Arabidopsis thaliana: one gene and its partners. The protein of the gene in region 1 interacts with the protein of each later gene in a pairwise test. Each region holds a gene or a part of one and is shown in the gene's direction. Other genes may lie near its edges. The genes, in order: AT3G15420, EMB2816, AT3G13940 and AT1G15710.

Region 1 (3,178 bases):
CTCAACAAGCTTAGGCCTAAATATTGGACGGCTAGTATCTAAATGACCACAGCAATGCGATGAATTATCCCCACAAGTGAGAACCTGTGCCGGATTTCAAATATGAGTGATTATGGCAAACGACAATATACTCACAGGATAGGTTTTAAGTGAAACAGAAGCTACCAACCTGTCCAGATTGCAATACGAAAGCAGAATGGTTCTGTGTGGCTGAGACTTGAGCCACTTGAGCAGGGAACGGAAACTCTATAGGTGTAAATGCTACACACTGAGTAGTTTCAGAGCCATGAGCAAGAACACCGGACAAACTTACACCACAAGAATAAACCTTTGAGTTGTTGATTAGCAAAGTGTGATACTTTCCTGTTGCAATTTGCATCTGCAGAAAAAATAAAAGAAATGCATCTGAGACTTCTAAACCAAATTAACCAAGAATCAACTTTCTCCATAGCAACTTCACTGAACTACCTAAAACTACTGACTATATGAAATGACAGAAAGCATACTTTGCCTTGAGAGGTTTCAACCATATCTGAGGATTGCTCAACTGACTGCAAGAAACTAAAAAGCCGCTTCCAGTTTCCCTCACAATTGGCAAAGAGCTCTTTCTGTGTAGTCAAACCCATTCCCACGTAGACAGGGTGCATAGAGCAAAGCTGAGACGCCGCATAATCAGCTAATGATCTGAATTTCAAAGGATAGAATCCATGGCTCCCTCCGAAAACCTTAGAAGTCAATTCCAAGCTAAGTAGATCAACCGCACTAAGCCTCCCAGAGGTCAACACCTCCAAGATCAAATGAGAAGGAAGATCCTCGAACGAAATCAAACAGTTTCGATCAGCCATTTCTTCCCTTCCTAATTCTAAGAACAGGGTTTCAAAATGACCTAATTGAACGTAAAGGACGAGACTTTGGGTTGCTTCAAGCTACTAGAGGATCAGATTTTGAGGCGAAATCGAGAGCAATTGAAGTAATGTATGAAGAACACGTTGGATGGTAGAAAGAGATAAGAAATCGAATAGGAAAACGGAGTTATAGATGAGAATCTCGCAGTTGGTCTATTCGAAGATCGGAAACTAATCATGAGAAGGGTCAGATCGCAAGAATCAATCCACCTGAACACGCCAGATTCTTCGAACTGCAACGAAGAACAGAACAATCCACAATCAATCAAACTAAACAAATCCCTCAAAAAGGAGAAAACTTTCGATTGAAAAACGTACAATTGAAATCGAAAATAGGGAACGAGGAATCGAGAAGAAGAAAAGAGGTTAGTGGTGATAGATCCTTACCTGGAAAGCAAAAGGTCTTGACTTTTTGGTTGCCCACTAAACAAATGAAACCAAAAAGTCTAAAAAGAACTTTTTTATATAAGAGAATGGTGAAAGACGTGTGAGGACGAATAGAAAATTAGGGGAAAATTCAATATCTTGCCTCTTAAGCTTCTTTCGTGGCGATTGTTCCTCTCTGTTTGCAGAATCTTTTGAGGCTTACTTAGTCGTCGGCTCTTGAATGTACTCTGTTTTATTGCTTTAGCTGAGAGTTTTATGTGTTTTCTGCTTCACCACTACTTTTGCTTGGTTTATGTTCAAATTAAATTGGTAACTTGGTTATTTGCATAACTATTTCCGGTTCTCCGGCTTCACAAAATCCTCCGGTTTAGTTTTACGGTCTGAGATTGGATGTAGTTTCCGTGCTTGACACGTGGAAGAAAAAGAAGTGAGAAGATGAAGAATCGGCCCTCCATATTTTGGGCTTTAGGTTATAGTAATGGGCCCAAAAGTGAGTCTCTCGTAACAGAGCAATTTTTAGACAGACGAAGAAGAAGAAGAAGAAGCAGAGAATCGATTGACACGAATCTTCATCTTCCTCTTACTCTTAATCAGGCTTGTTCTTCAGTTTCCATCACTTAAGGTTTTCGTATTTTCTCGAAAGATTCAACGGAAAAGATAGAGATAGATAGATGGAGGAGGAATTTGTTATGATTGATCTTGATGAAGTTTCAAGGCACATTGAGATTCCATCAGATGCTCCTTATACTTTATCAGTTAGTTCAAATCCATATTCTTTAGTTAAACTCTTTGCATTGGTTTTGTTTTGACTTTTGTTTATTATTTCTCAGGGTTTGGATACTTTGAATCCGGTGTTGACCATTGATGGCAAAATCAAGCTGGTGAGTTTTCTATAACTTGAGTTTGAGTAACTCTTTTGCTTAAACCATTCTTAATCGTGTTAGATTTGATGATCTCTCAGGTTGGAGAATATATTGAAACGATTGGTACATGCCTTGCTTTCTCTGAAAAGGGTTAGTTTCACTTTTCATCTTTATTGGTTCACGTACTTCTTTTGTCCCTTGATGTTTTTACTGAAGCTGATTTTTGAGGTTTCTTTACTTTTATTTTGGTTTTGCAGAAGAAGTTTCAGCAAGTGAAAACCAGATGCCACATAAGAAGATAATTGAACCTGTTGCAAAACTCCACAAGATTCTTAAGTTTAGATTAGCAGCATTAGACAATGATGATGGAGAAACAAAAACAAACAATTTGTAATAGTTTTTCCCTTGTTTAAGTCATTGGAGAGCTGAGTTATGGGTATGTGTAGAAAGGTTACAAATTTTTTTAAATGATTAGGAATGATAATTCTCATTTCATGTTAAAAGATTTTTTTGGACTTGCTTATTGCCAAACTTCAAAAGATTCTTAAAGTTTAAGTTATAAATTAGCATTCGACAATGAAAAATGCAGAAACAAAAAGAAGAAACCAATTTGTTACAAAAAAATTCTCCTGTTGAGGCCATTGGAGTTTATAGACTTGTAGTACATATCACAGAACCAGACGTACTGGATTACACACCAACAAAAGTGAAAATATCTTAGACAAGGGACACACGCATTTCTCATCAATAAAATCAATCTGGTGTTCACACAAATCTTACAAACAACAACATAGGTGTTGATGTTAATGTTGTAGAAGCTACTGATCTGGAAGTCTGTCTTTCAGGTAGTTCAACACAGCTTTTGTTCCTCTTTCTAGAATTGGCCTCCTGATACTGTTTTAAGAACGTTGGTGAAAAAGAAAATCAATCGATCTGGAAAGTTCTTGTGTTTATTAATGTATCAGTGTTTATCATTTATACCTTCTTAATGGGTTCCCGTCAAGTCGTAGAACCTCAAGTGTA
Region 2 (3,719 bases), on another chromosome or scaffold:
GTTACAAATACTACAAACCCAAAATATACAATTATACAAACTATATTATGATATCTACATATATATACATGACTATATATTCTAACTAGATAAGGATCCGTCCGATGGACGAATTTATTTTTTTATAACTAAAATTAAATTCAGTAAAAATAATAAATAATGACGTTGTAAGTAGAAATTATCTTTCAAAAGTAAAATATATTTATTTTTACTGTTTATTGTGTTTTTCACCACTAATATTATTGATTAAAAATTATTTGAATGAAAAATATATCACATTGACTAAAACCCTTTATATATAAAGATGATCTATCAACGTTGACTAAAAACTTTTGAAATCATGACATATGATAAAACTTTTGATTGATAACTTATTCATGATAATATTAGTTACTAATTTTGAGAAAAAAATCTATTATATTATTTATAAAATGTGATATCCGTCAATGCTGAAGATAAATGGTTTTAGTAGAAAAGCATTTTCAGGCCGATTTGACCCGACTGAGTTCAAACGGATGTATGTGGAGCTTTTACAAAATAAAGTTGACTCATTTTTAGTTATCTATTTTGTATTTACTTTATCAGCGTTGGATTAAGTAAGACAATGACAATCTTTGGAAGTTACATCGTCTCGTTGGAATACGCACAAATGAAGTCTCACTCAGGCTACGATGACCAATCCAAGCAATAGAGGAGAGATTAAGAGTCTTAGAGTCAAACTGGTCTGCAAAGAACTTTATAAAGTGATGAGGATCAAATGTAGAAGATTTGAAGATGACATAGAAGAAATTTTCGAATTCACATGTAATTATAAGTCTTTTGGTTTTGATTCATGAATAAAGTGATTCTTTCTTCGTTAATGATTGAGATTTCGGTTTAGATTTTTTTTTTAGTCTAAATTAAGGTCAACAACACGTTTGAATCTTTATTCATCTTTTTTTTACGGCTCTAATATCTCTTAATTTTACTCGATTTGGTGTTATTTAAATTTCGATTCGGCCGTTGAATACCTGAAATTTTGCTAGGTCAAGTTATTCAAATCTTTTTAACAGAGATATTTACTATTTGCGAGTTTATAAATGTGTGTGCATTTTTCGTAAAAGAATCAAAAATTTCTTTTTTGGAGTTTTGTGTCGATAGATGGTTAAGAGATTTTACCAAATGATTTACTTTACGACTTACAAGTACTTCACAAGTTCATAGTTAAATTTTAAAAGCGTTGCTCAGAATTAGAGGTGGATCAAACTTATGTTTCGTTTTAATTTTATTTTTGGTTAAATTTGTTAGTAATTGTTTTTAATAGGTTGTGCCGTTGTGGTAAATTTGCTTTGTGTTTACCAGTTATCTTGTTTTTTAAACATCTATTTTATTAGATTAAAAGTAAGGAGTATAATGACAATGCTAAATTTAGTTGTCTTTATTGTAATTTCTATTCAGATGATGTTTATTCTTCTTAGCTAACTGAACAATTGTATTACGATTTTATTAATTCCTAACTAATATCCCCTTCCAATTTTATTTCGGGTTTAGTTAACAATTTAATGTTTAGTTATCGGTTTATGGTTCAATTTACGGTTCAGTTCAAATAATATGGTAACCATGGTTAGGGATTTAAACCAGAGTCCTTTACGAGATCAGAGTTAAAAAACAAAAAGCGTCACTAGGAAGCTGCGACTATTTGACTGACTCTGATTTCACGCGACTCCTTGTGAGATTCTCCGATTGCTTCGCCTGAGTTTCTGGGTTAACTCTCCACGCCGTCACTTTGATCTTTGCTTTTCCGGTGAGGTTTCTTCATCCACTTGTTGATTTCCGAATTCACACATTTTCCGAATCCACTTGGGGCCAAAGAATTGCAAACCCTAATTTTTAATCATCAACTCTATTCTGAACCAATTTGATTTCCGTTTTTTGCAGATCTTTAGGGTTTTTGTTTAGGGAATTGTCGAAGACTCTGCTCTAACATGGTAAAGTTTAACCTAAATTGAAGTAGCAAAGTATCATTGTTATATGAGTCGAGTTAATTCTTAAGCGAGTGTTTGTTATTCACAGTCTGGAAGAAAAGAAACGGTTTTAGATTTGGCCAAGTTTGTAGATAAGGGTGTGCAAGTTAAGCTCACTGGTGGTAGACAAGGTAATAAAACAAGTGTTTCTCTCATTATGCTCCAAAGATGATGATTCTTTCTAATGTTTTCTCTGAGATTTGTTTGATAGTTGCTATGTTTTTTGCTTGCAGTGACTGGAACTCTTAAAGGCTATGACCAATTGCTTAATCTTGTTCTTGATGAAGCAGTCGAGTTCGTTCGAGGTATCTTTTATCTTACCTATATCTACTGCATTGATCTTGTTAGGCTACAATTCTCTAGTGGAATCCGCCTCTTAGTAAACGAATCTCTGTATTGCTATGAAGTTTATTACTCTGGTTCATACAGATGTCTCCATGATGCCATTGGAAGATATATGGAAATTTTGATTAGAAGAGACTGTTTGATTGCTTAATCATGTTATGTTGGTGATATGAATGGGATGATTTCATTCTCTTAGCTAGATTTTGAAACTAGAAGTGGGATCATATTTCCATAGATCTAACTCAGTTTTATGACCCTTGTGTTATGTTTTGATCAGATCATGATGATCCTTTGAAGACTACGGATCAGACAAGACGCCTTGGTTTGATTGTATGATTCATTTACCTTCTTTTTTCATTACTATAAGTGTAATCCTGTTTAGTGCAAATAATATCATTGTTTCTTCTAGCATCGTGTTATTTGTAATGGAGTTCCATAGTTTAGATGCTAAATCATGATGGTTTGTCTTGTTTTTAGGTTTGCCGTGGAACAGCGGTGATGCTTGTCTCACCAACCGATGGCACCGAAGAAATCGCTAACCCGTTCGTTACTGCAGAGGCTGTCTAAAGACTTTCTTCTCAAAGAATATGTCTCTCTATTAGTTTAACTTGGCGATTTAGAGAGTATTTCATCTAACTCTCTGGTGTGATGTTGGAAACATATATGTTCAATTTAAACAATTTGGAACATCATGGACACTTACCTAACTTCGTTCTCAAATCTCGTTGTGCCAAAGCACAAAATCTCCTTAACCAGAACTGAAGTAAACCGGAAAAATCGAATGTCTGAGTCTTCTCGTTACTGAACCATGGATTTATAAGCGAGTGATTTGAAATTTTTGAAGTTGTTTCCATAGTTTTAGTGGAGACGATGAAGTCAGTAATGTCAAAGATCAAACTTTTTAGACCAGTCGTCACGTTACGTTGTTCTTACAGCTCCACAGATCAAACTCTTCTTCTTAGCGAATTTACCAGACTCTGTTACCAGAGAGACCTTCCCAGAGCTATGAAAGCAATGGATTCATTGCAAAGTCATGGTCTTTGGGCAGACTCTGCAACTTATTCTGAGCTTATCAAGTGTTGTATATCTAATAGAGCTGTTCATGAAGGGAATCTCATTTGTCGTCATTTATACTTCAATGGTCATCGACCAATGATGTTTCTGGTTAATGTTCTGATCAATATGTATGTAAAATTCAATCTTTTGAATGATGCTCACCAACTGTTCGATCAAATGCCTCAAAGGAATGTTATTTCTTGGACTACGATGATTTCTGCTTATTCTAAGTGTAAGATTCATCAAAAGGCTTTGGAGCTTTTGGTTTTGATGTTGAGAGATAATGTGAGGCCTAATGTGTATACTTACTCTTCT
Region 3 (4,327 bases), 610 kb from region 1:
TTCTTCGTATCGATGACCTTCTTGACCGTTGATCTCCATGATTTGAAGCGATGAATGCTTTACAAAAGAGTTATAATTCTTAAAATTTATATATGTAACTTCTCTCTTTGTCGAGATTATAAAGGAAAAAAAAGAACGAGTCTTTTTAAAAAAGGAAAGGGAGATAGAAATTTCTGGTTTGATCAGCAAAAGTCTAATTTGAAACCATTTGTTTGTTGATCACGTACGGGAATTAAAAACCTACTCTTTGAGAACTATATGATTCTGATCAAGTCAGTCAACGATAGCGACATTAGGGAAGAAGCGTCGTCGTTATTTTTTATATATTTCTAACTAAATAGAGTTTTTGAGGTTTATAGGAGAATCGCAAGACCTCAAATTTGACTCTGGGAGATCATATCTCTCATTTGTGTCACTCTTCTTTCAACGTGTCTTTTCTTTCATAGTACTACATTTGTCATCTTGTCATTGTATCTAATGACTTATACGACTTGTGGTATAAAAAGATAAAGATATATAGCGGATAAAGAACAGTCGTTGCATACCATTCAACAAACCAAAATTAAGTTGAAGTTGAACATTAGTTAATTGCGGAGAAAAAAACTAGAACATTAATTAATTGCGCAACAGTGAACAGTGACATTAGTACATATAAAATCTTCAACATAATGATAAATTAAGCTACTAACAAGTAACAGAGTCATGATCTAGTGGTTGAATATTGGCAATGTTAATTAATCGATTGTATAGATTAATTTTCATCTATCTATCCACAACGCTAGCTCTTTTATGTTCAACTATTACAAAAGTTGTAAGTGGCATAAGAAAACTGTGGTCGTACATCAACATCACACACCACGATTTACTCTTTTCTTAAATTTTTTATTAGATATACATACCTGCAAATGTTACTCATATAATATTACACAAATATTTGATACGTCAGCTTAAATATGTATCTGGGTAAGGTGATCAGGTGATTATCAAAATAAAATAAAATAGTACAGCATTACTTGTTTTGTTGCTAGGTAAGTTTGACGACGAATAAAAATATATGTATCCAAGTTCACCAAATCCTACGCTAGCTAGTTGGACGACAAGACTTTATTTTGGACTCGAAAAAAAGAGAGAGAACGTGTTAAAGAACCCTAATCAAAGAATAACCGATCCGATAGTAGTCCACTGTCAAAAGTGAAAACTAGTTGTGATGATATCAGTCCAATATACACTTAACCTGAAATATCTATATTAAAAACGAACTAAGAATTTGGTGTACTTGGATCAAAATTTTACATTTGTTCCAGCATAGAAACTTGGTCTAGAAATGATGAAAAAATTAGAAGATAATAGAATCCATAGTTAAAAAAAACTTAAAAGAAGGTTATGTGGCCAAAGCTTTAAAGAAGAGTTTAGATACTTTGGAGGTAGATCAATGTAAATTGGGATCTTTGCAAACAGCGTGTGTTTGTTTTCTAAGTTTCAGGCGAACTACGTGTCGTTTTAGCTAAGAGAAAAAGCCAGGGTTTAGATTCCGTAGTCCGTAGACGTCGTTATAACGGTGTAGATCTTTCTAAACAAATTAAAAGTTTGGGGTCAAAAAAAAAAACTGTGAAGATTTCTTTATCGACTCGGACAAACAACAAGGGTCTGTTATGTAATAAATTCCCGAAACATAACCAAATTAGGGTTTAAGCATTTAGTGAGTTTCCAGTAAACCCTTCTCTGAATCGCTGCCGCTTCTTCGATAGACTAAAAGAATCCAAACCTCAGTAGCCATGGAAGGCGAAGAGAAGAATGATTATAGAAACGAGGAAGAAGATTTCAATACACCACAACAACTACAAAAGAAGCAAAGGAAAGGGAAAAAAATAGCAACGGAAACAGAGGATGAAAACGAAGAAGACAAGAGAGTTACTCTCAAAGTCACGCAAGTCGCCGAGAGACCCGATAGAATCTCTCCGATCGTCGCCTATTTCTCTACAGGATACGATCCTTGTAAAGTAGATCCAAAAACAGGCAAGAGAGTTCATGAAACTCCCAAGGTTACTGTTTACAAGCATAAGGATGATTCTAAGAAGAGGATTCAGGTTGTTGTAAGTCCTCCAGGCGCAAGAGTTGAGTTCGTCGGAACTAATTACACAGGCGAGCAAGCTGCTATGCAGACGAATACTTATAGAGTTGGTGTTTTTAATAGAGAGGCTAAAACTTTGAGGATTCTTCCTGTTGCTCACAATAAGGTTTAAATTCTGTTACCTTGTTTTGATTTTGGTGATTAATTGGTTTGAATTAGTTGGAATGTTTTGAGTGTATGGTTGTGAATAGAAAAGAAATGATTTTTGAGAGTTTGAGTTTGGTTTTGTGTTACTTGTAGATAATCAGATTGGAGCCTAGAGTTAAAGCTCAAGAAACAAATGAGGAAGAAGCTTCAGGAAGTGCTGTCGTCAAAGAACTTGAAGAACTAAAAACAGGAGAACGCGATCGTTATAATACAAAAAAAGCTGTTACTCGGGTATGTTACTACAGCATCTGAAAACACCAATTCTACTGTTTCCTACAGTATCTGTCTTATTGGTATCCAGACTAGTAGAGAACTGATTGTCGTGAGATTCGTTGGGAGGATTATATGTCTGAGTGAGAATGTGTGTCTCTATGCAGGATAAGAAGAAGCGTGCCTTATATATGGGAGATGATGCTGCGACTCAGAAGGTCCTTGATGGGAAACTAAGTGAGTTAGGTGTTAACACAGCTGCTCTTGAAGGCACCAGTTCTACTGTTGCACGCAACATTCCTCCTTACAATACCGCTGCAACGACTGCAAATGAAGCTTATCCCTTAGAAAAGATCATTGAAAAGGGGGATTGGAGTTTTCTTGAAGATATTTACTGGCTTCTGCAACAGGAAACTGAAGCAGCAACTGAGGCTTACCCTGTATTTGTCCGCAACAGATTGTACAGATTGCGAGATATCAAGGTAAAATTATGACTATTTTCTTGGATGCAAAATATTTTATGTTAGCTTGCACCACTTTCGCGGTTTGCTCTGATTAAATGGATTCTGAACTTCTCATGGTTTTATCTACTGCTCAGAAGATTCTTTATGTATGTATGTCATTTTGTTACATATGCAGGACGATATGAAAAAGCAGACGGTTTGTGGTGCTGCAACGCTTCTCACCCATCTGGTTAAGTTCAAGGACAGAAACTCAATGAATGGTTACGATTCCGCTAAAGACCACAAGATGCCAGACATCTTCCGTCAAAAATTCAACAGCATGTTCAAGGATTCTGAATCAGATAGGATACCTGTTGACAAGATCAACCTTCTGATAAGCTACGTTCTTGTGCTATCCCTTCACGTGGATAATTTCATGACCGATCCAGAAGACATAGCAAAAGATCTGAGGATAAGCACAGTTGAGCTGAGGAAACATTTTCTACAGCTTGGCTGCAAATTCCTGAAGCAGAATTCTACTACGGTTGCTACCTTACCGACCCCTCTCAATTTCCCGGAGGTTAACCGGAGGCGCAGGGCACGAAAGTGATGACGATCTAGGAGAAGATTTTGTTCTATCTTTACATATTTTCTGCTATTTTAATGATATTTCTTTGACGGTCTGTTGAGATATTATAAATTGTTTTAGTTCCTAAGACATCTGTTTCTTGGGTTTAATGATATATGATGTTTTGGCATTTAAGCAAGCAAACTGCTCTAAGTCCATGATAGTGAACTAAGTGACATTTTATTAGAAGAAAGAGATATTTATTGGAGTTGATTAATAAAATTAAGTAAATGGGTTTTATTTTGCCAACCCATGATGAACAAGCATTAAGCCAAAAAACAAGTGCACAGTGAAATTGTTGGATTCCTGATTTTATTTTGAGACAAAAATCTGTCAACTCAATGATTTAAAGAATAGCAAAACACTCAACTTTAAAGGCCATTGCCTACTGCTGATCAAATCTGGTAGAATATGTTGTGGGAAAGAAATTTGAGGTCAGAAGACTCTTATGAGTTTAGCTTTTGATGTGTGTGTGCGTCTGAATTTTAGAGCAACATAGATTCTGGGGTCTCGATGTAGCCCTTGAATGCTTTCAGCCACTCGGCTCCAATTGCACCTGCACAGGAAGATGACTTATTAGACGTTTTCGATGAGGTGATGATTAATAATGACAATAGGAATGAGAGGCGGATTCTGTACCATCTATTACGCGGTGGTCACAGCTTAGTGTTACAGACATGTATGAAGCAACGTTGTATTGGTCTGGACCAGTACCGGGAACAACTCTCTTTTCAGCTGTTTTGAGATTCAGACACCAACACTATAATA
Region 4 (4,156 bases), on another chromosome or scaffold:
TTTTACCATTCTTATTTTCGTTTACCGTAGGTGGTTAAAAAACCTTTTTTGTTGATGAGGCTCATTTAAAGAACCAACCAAATGATGTTTCTTTCTCTCACTCTCTGTCTTTCTGTTTTCTTTTTGTTCTGTTTAGAATTTAGAAATCCACCAAGTATTCGGTCGAGACTTGTTTTAGCCGTTACTTTCTGCTGCTTATATTTCCTAAATTGGTTGTCTTCTTCGAGACATAATTGGAATTTATTGTTACTGTTAGTCTTTTGTCGGCGTTAGGTGTAAACGATTCTCAATTTCTCATGATCTGTAAATTCTTTCATGACATTTATTACCACAAACAACAAATGATTTTACACAGCTGTAGTTTCTACCTAAGACTCTCGAAGAGCTTCTGCTCCAGCCACAATCTCCAGCAACTCCCCAGTGATCTTAGCCTGTCTCGCTCGGTTATAAGCCATCGTCAGATTCTTCTTCAATTCAACCGCATTATCAGTCGCATTACTCATCGCATTCATCCTCGACGCAAGCTCACTCGCTAAAGATTCCTGCAGTGCTCTTAGAATCTGACTGTTGAGATACAAAGGCATCATTGCATCAAGAATCTGAACAGGGTCTTGCTCAAACTGCATCAACGGTGAGATCTCAGGCTTCTCAACTTCAAGCTTGGTCCTTTCCACAGCTAACTTCCCATCTTTGCTCGTTAGCCTAAACATCTCATCCTCGATAGCATCAACACACTCACCTTTCACATCACAAGACTCTCCTTTCATCGACAAAGGCAACAGAGTGTGGATCACAGGATCAGATTTCACCAAAGACACAAACTTTGTGTAAACAAGCTCAACTTTATCAACCTCTTCACTGACAAACAAGGAAAACACATCATCTGCAATAACTTGAGCTTCTTTAGTCGTTGGGAAAACACCTCCTCCTTCAATACATTTATCAACATCAAATTCATCTCTCCGACTAAAATAAGCATTCCCTTTCTTACCTACACTTATCACAACACAGTCTATTCCTCTCTGCTTCAACTCTTGAACTCGCAGAGTAGCTTTCTTGGTCACTGCATTGTTGAAACCACCACACAATCCTTTATCGCCAGTAACAACAACCAAAGCAACTCTCTTCACGGGTCTAACAATGCTCAGAGGAAAATCAATGTCTTCTAATTGAGCAGATTGGTTAATTGAGTAGAGAATCTCCACAAGAGTTTCAGTGAAAGGTCTACCCTTTATGACTGCATCTTGAGCTCGACGAACTCTAGCTGCCGCCACGAGTCTCATCGCTTCCGTTATCTTCTGGGTATTCTTCACACTGTCGATTCGTTCTCGTAACTCTCGGATTCCAGCTCGAATTTGAATTGAGGGCAACGGAGATCTCGACGAAATCCGGTTTGGTGTCAGTGATTGAAACGGATAATAACGAACTGGTTTCAAGGTAGCTATGAAAGAGTAGGACTCTGAGCTCGAAGCCGAATTCGAATTCGAAGGAGACGACAAGAGCCAAGAGGTCGAGATCGAACCTGTCATTTTCGTTTGGGAAAGAAGACCCTGAACTTGAGAGGTTTAAGATTTCATCTTCTCGTGAAGAAATGAGCAAAGAAAGAGAACTTGAGGGGTTTTCTGTAATTATCATGTTTATTAGGGGTCAGTATATAAAAATTACTACAAAAGTCAAAATTAGAGTTTTTGTTTTTTTTTTTCTATGAGAAAAACGAGGGAAATATCAATAACCCTCCTAAATCCTAATAAAAATTACTACAAATAGCCAAATTAATAGAAAACCAAAAAACAACAACTATAGTCAGCATATGAAAATTACGAAATTTTCTTTTTAAAGATTCATATATAGGAAGAGATTGAACTTTAAAGTAACAAATCAAAATAAAATTATGGACAAATAAAAACTCTAGTCCTTCAGAAAAAGAAATATTGTAAATGCGGGTTACTAAATACAAATGAATACAAAACAGTACCTACAAATTTCCTTGGAACGACTTTTAATTTTGACCTCAATTTTTTATTTCCATTATGGTCCTTGTGTTGTTGTGTATTTAGCATTTTGTTTTTCTTGGGTCAATCAGCATCACCACGTTTAGGCCACGACATAAAATTGATCCGTTTATTTTTGAGGCTCGCTCGCATCTTCTTCCTCCTTTGGCGCAACCGCTTCTTCCTCTTCTATTCTCACAGATTTCTCTAAGCTCCCAACTTTGGAGCTAAAACTCAATCAACACTACTCACAATGCTACTCCATTTCTCTCCGGCGAAACCCCTCATTTCTCCACCCAATCTCCGCCGCAATTCACCCACATTCCTCATTTCCCCGCCGCGATCTCTTCGAATTCGAGCAATCGACGCCGCCCAAATCTTCGATTACGAAACCCAACTCAAATCCGAGTACCGCAAATCCTCTGCTCTCAAAATCGCCGTCTTGGGTTTCGGCAATTTCGGCCAATTCCTCTCCAAAACCCTAATTCGACACGGCCACGATCTAATCACTCACTCCCGCTCCGATTACTCCGACGCCGCAAACTCAATCGGAGCTCGTTTCTTCGATAACCCTCACGATCTCTGTGAACAACATCCCGACGTTGTCCTCCTCTGTACCTCAATCCTCTCCACAGAATCAGTCCTCAGATCATTCCCTTTCCAACGTCTCCGTCGTAGCACACTCTTCGTCGATGTTCTCTCCGTTAAGGAATTCCCAAAAGCCCTCTTCATTAAATACCTTCCTAAGGAGTTTGACATTCTCTGTACTCATCCAATGTTTGGACCTGAGAGTGGTAAGCATTCTTGGTCTGGCTTGCCCTTTGTCTACGATAAGGTGAGAATCGGAGACGCAGCTTCAAGACAAGAGAGGTGTGAGAAGTTTCTAAGAATTTTTGAGAATGAAGGTTGCAAGATGGTTGAAATGAGCTGTGAGAAGCATGATTATTACGCAGCTGGATCGCAATTCGTGACGCATACTATGGGAAGGGTTTTGGAGAAATATGGAGTTGAGTCTTCGCCGATTAACACCAAAGGTTATGAGACGTTGTTGGATTTGGTGGAGAACACATCGAGTGATAGCTTTGAGCTTTTCTACGGTTTGTTTATGTATAATCCGAATGCTCTTGAACAGTTGGAGAGATTGGATATGGCTTTTGAGTCTGTTAAGAAGGAGCTGTTTGGGAGATTACATCAGCAATACAGGAAGCAAATGTTTGGTGGGGAGGTTCAATCGCCCAAGAAAACTGAGCAGAAATTGCTCAATGATGGTGGTGTTGTTCCTATGAATGATATATCATCATCATCATCATCATCATCATCATCATCTTAAGATCACAAGTTTGATTGGATTATGCTAGATTCAAAAATAAAAAGTTGTGACTTTTTTGGAAAACGTCAAGAGTGGAAAATAAAAAAGGGATTTTGGTGTGTTCATATGTATGTTGGGGTCTCTTTTGGCTTGGTATCAATAAACTTGTCTTTTTTTCTCTAAATGTATCTGTGGAAATGCTTATCCCTCTGGTCGCCGGAAACAAATACGGACAAATTGTCTCCTTCTCCGGCCATATTTGTATTGGATCAACATTGTATTGCTCAAAAGTCATTACTGTTTTTCTCTGTCTCCAATGATCTCGGGTCACCCACCCGATTCGGATCAGGACAACATCGTTTCGTTATGGGCCGATTATATAATGGGCCGCTTGAATGTCTCGTCTTATTTAATTAAAAGAAAAAAACACATTTTAAATTTGAATGATTCACACGTGTGTTGTTGCCACCATAGTTGGTCGGAGCTTTTCCTCTTCCCAAAATTGTAACCCTAACCACGCACCGACGGCGAAAACTGATCGCGGGTTTTCGCATCTTTTACTTGCAAAGTCTTGGAAATGGAAGTGATGGACAAATGGGTAGCTGAATTTTTCCTCCGACGCCAACTAAATCCTAGGGTTTACGCTTTTCCACTGTTATCGGCTCTGAAACCAGTAGATTCCGACGACTGTGTAAAACTCAAGCTAACTGCTGTTTTGCGGGATATCTCCAATTCCATGATTCAAGGTACCGTAGACGAAGGAATGCTTGATCTCCTCGAAATTCTTGAGAAGCTTCTGTTACAGGAACATTCGGTTATCATGGGATCTCTCAAATCTGCGTATTGCTGGACTGCT

The links.
Region 2: the proteins of AT3G15420 (region 1) and EMB2816 interact in a two-hybrid assay, tested with the Arabidopsis thaliana proteins (one large-scale study listed by BioGRID).
Region 3: the proteins of AT3G15420 (region 1) and AT3G13940 interact in a two-hybrid assay, tested with the Arabidopsis thaliana proteins (one large-scale study listed by BioGRID).
Region 4: the proteins of AT3G15420 (region 1) and AT1G15710 interact in a two-hybrid assay, tested with the Arabidopsis thaliana proteins (one large-scale study listed by BioGRID).

Annotation. Positions count from the first base shown.
Region 1 is NC_003074.8:5,207,075-5,210,252, reverse strand, and holds AT3G15420 (Transcription factor TFIIIC, tau55-related protein), read left to right. Parts: upstream 1-1,743; 5' UTR 1,744-1,963; coding exon 1,964-2,047; intron 2,048-2,122; coding exon 2,123-2,173; intron 2,174-2,253; coding exon 2,254-2,305; intron 2,306-2,412; coding exon 2,413-2,549; 3' UTR 2,550-2,678; downstream 2,679-3,178. Other genes in the region: AT3G15430 (Regulator of chromosome condensation (RCC1) family protein), read right to left, coding at 1-84, 170-379, 507-845; AT3G15410 (Leucine-rich repeat (LRR) family protein), read right to left, coding at 2,974-3,049, 3,137-3,178.
Region 2 is NC_003071.7:1,178,342-1,182,060, forward strand, and holds EMB2816 (Small nuclear ribonucleoprotein family protein), read left to right. Parts: upstream 1-1,629; 5' UTR 1,630-1,783; intron 1,784-1,875; exon of another isoform or gene 1,876-1,917; 5' UTR 1,918-1,964; coding exon 1,965-1,967; intron 1,968-2,052; coding exon 2,053-2,134; intron 2,135-2,236; coding exon 2,237-2,308; intron 2,309-2,625; coding exon 2,626-2,678; intron 2,679-2,825; coding exon 2,826-2,915; 3' UTR 2,916-3,171; downstream 3,172-3,719. Other genes in the region: REME1 (Pentatricopeptide repeat (PPR) superfamily protein), read left to right, coding at 3,219-3,719. UniProt on the Arabidopsis thaliana protein: Component of LSM protein complexes, which are involved in RNA processing. Component of the cytoplasmic LSM1-LSM7 complex which is involved in mRNA degradation by promoting decapping and leading to accurate 5'-3' mRNA decay.
Region 3 is NC_003074.8:4,599,861-4,604,187, reverse strand, and holds AT3G13940 (DNA binding / DNA-directed RNA polymerase), read left to right. Parts: upstream 1-1,605; 5' UTR 1,606-1,775; coding exon 1,776-2,237; intron 2,238-2,371; coding exon 2,372-2,509; intron 2,510-2,655; coding exon 2,656-2,970; intron 2,971-3,127; coding exon 3,128-3,541; 3' UTR 3,542-3,766; downstream 3,767-4,327. Other genes in the region: AT3G13950 (ankyrin), read right to left, coding at 1-39; AT3G13930 (Dihydrolipoamide acetyltransferase, long form protein), read right to left, coding at 4,045-4,115, 4,199-4,294.
Region 4 is NC_003070.9:5,402,261-5,406,416, forward strand, and holds AT1G15710 (prephenate dehydrogenase family protein), read left to right. Parts: upstream 1-1,869; 5' UTR 1,870-2,244; coding exon 2,245-3,321; 3' UTR 3,322-3,650; downstream 3,651-4,156. Other genes in the region: ATPC2 (ATPase, F1 complex, gamma subunit protein), read right to left, coding at 369-1,529; TRFL5 (TRF-like 5), read left to right, coding at 3,878-4,156. UniProt on the Arabidopsis thaliana protein: Involved in the biosynthesis of tyrosine. Has a weak prephenate dehydrogenase activity.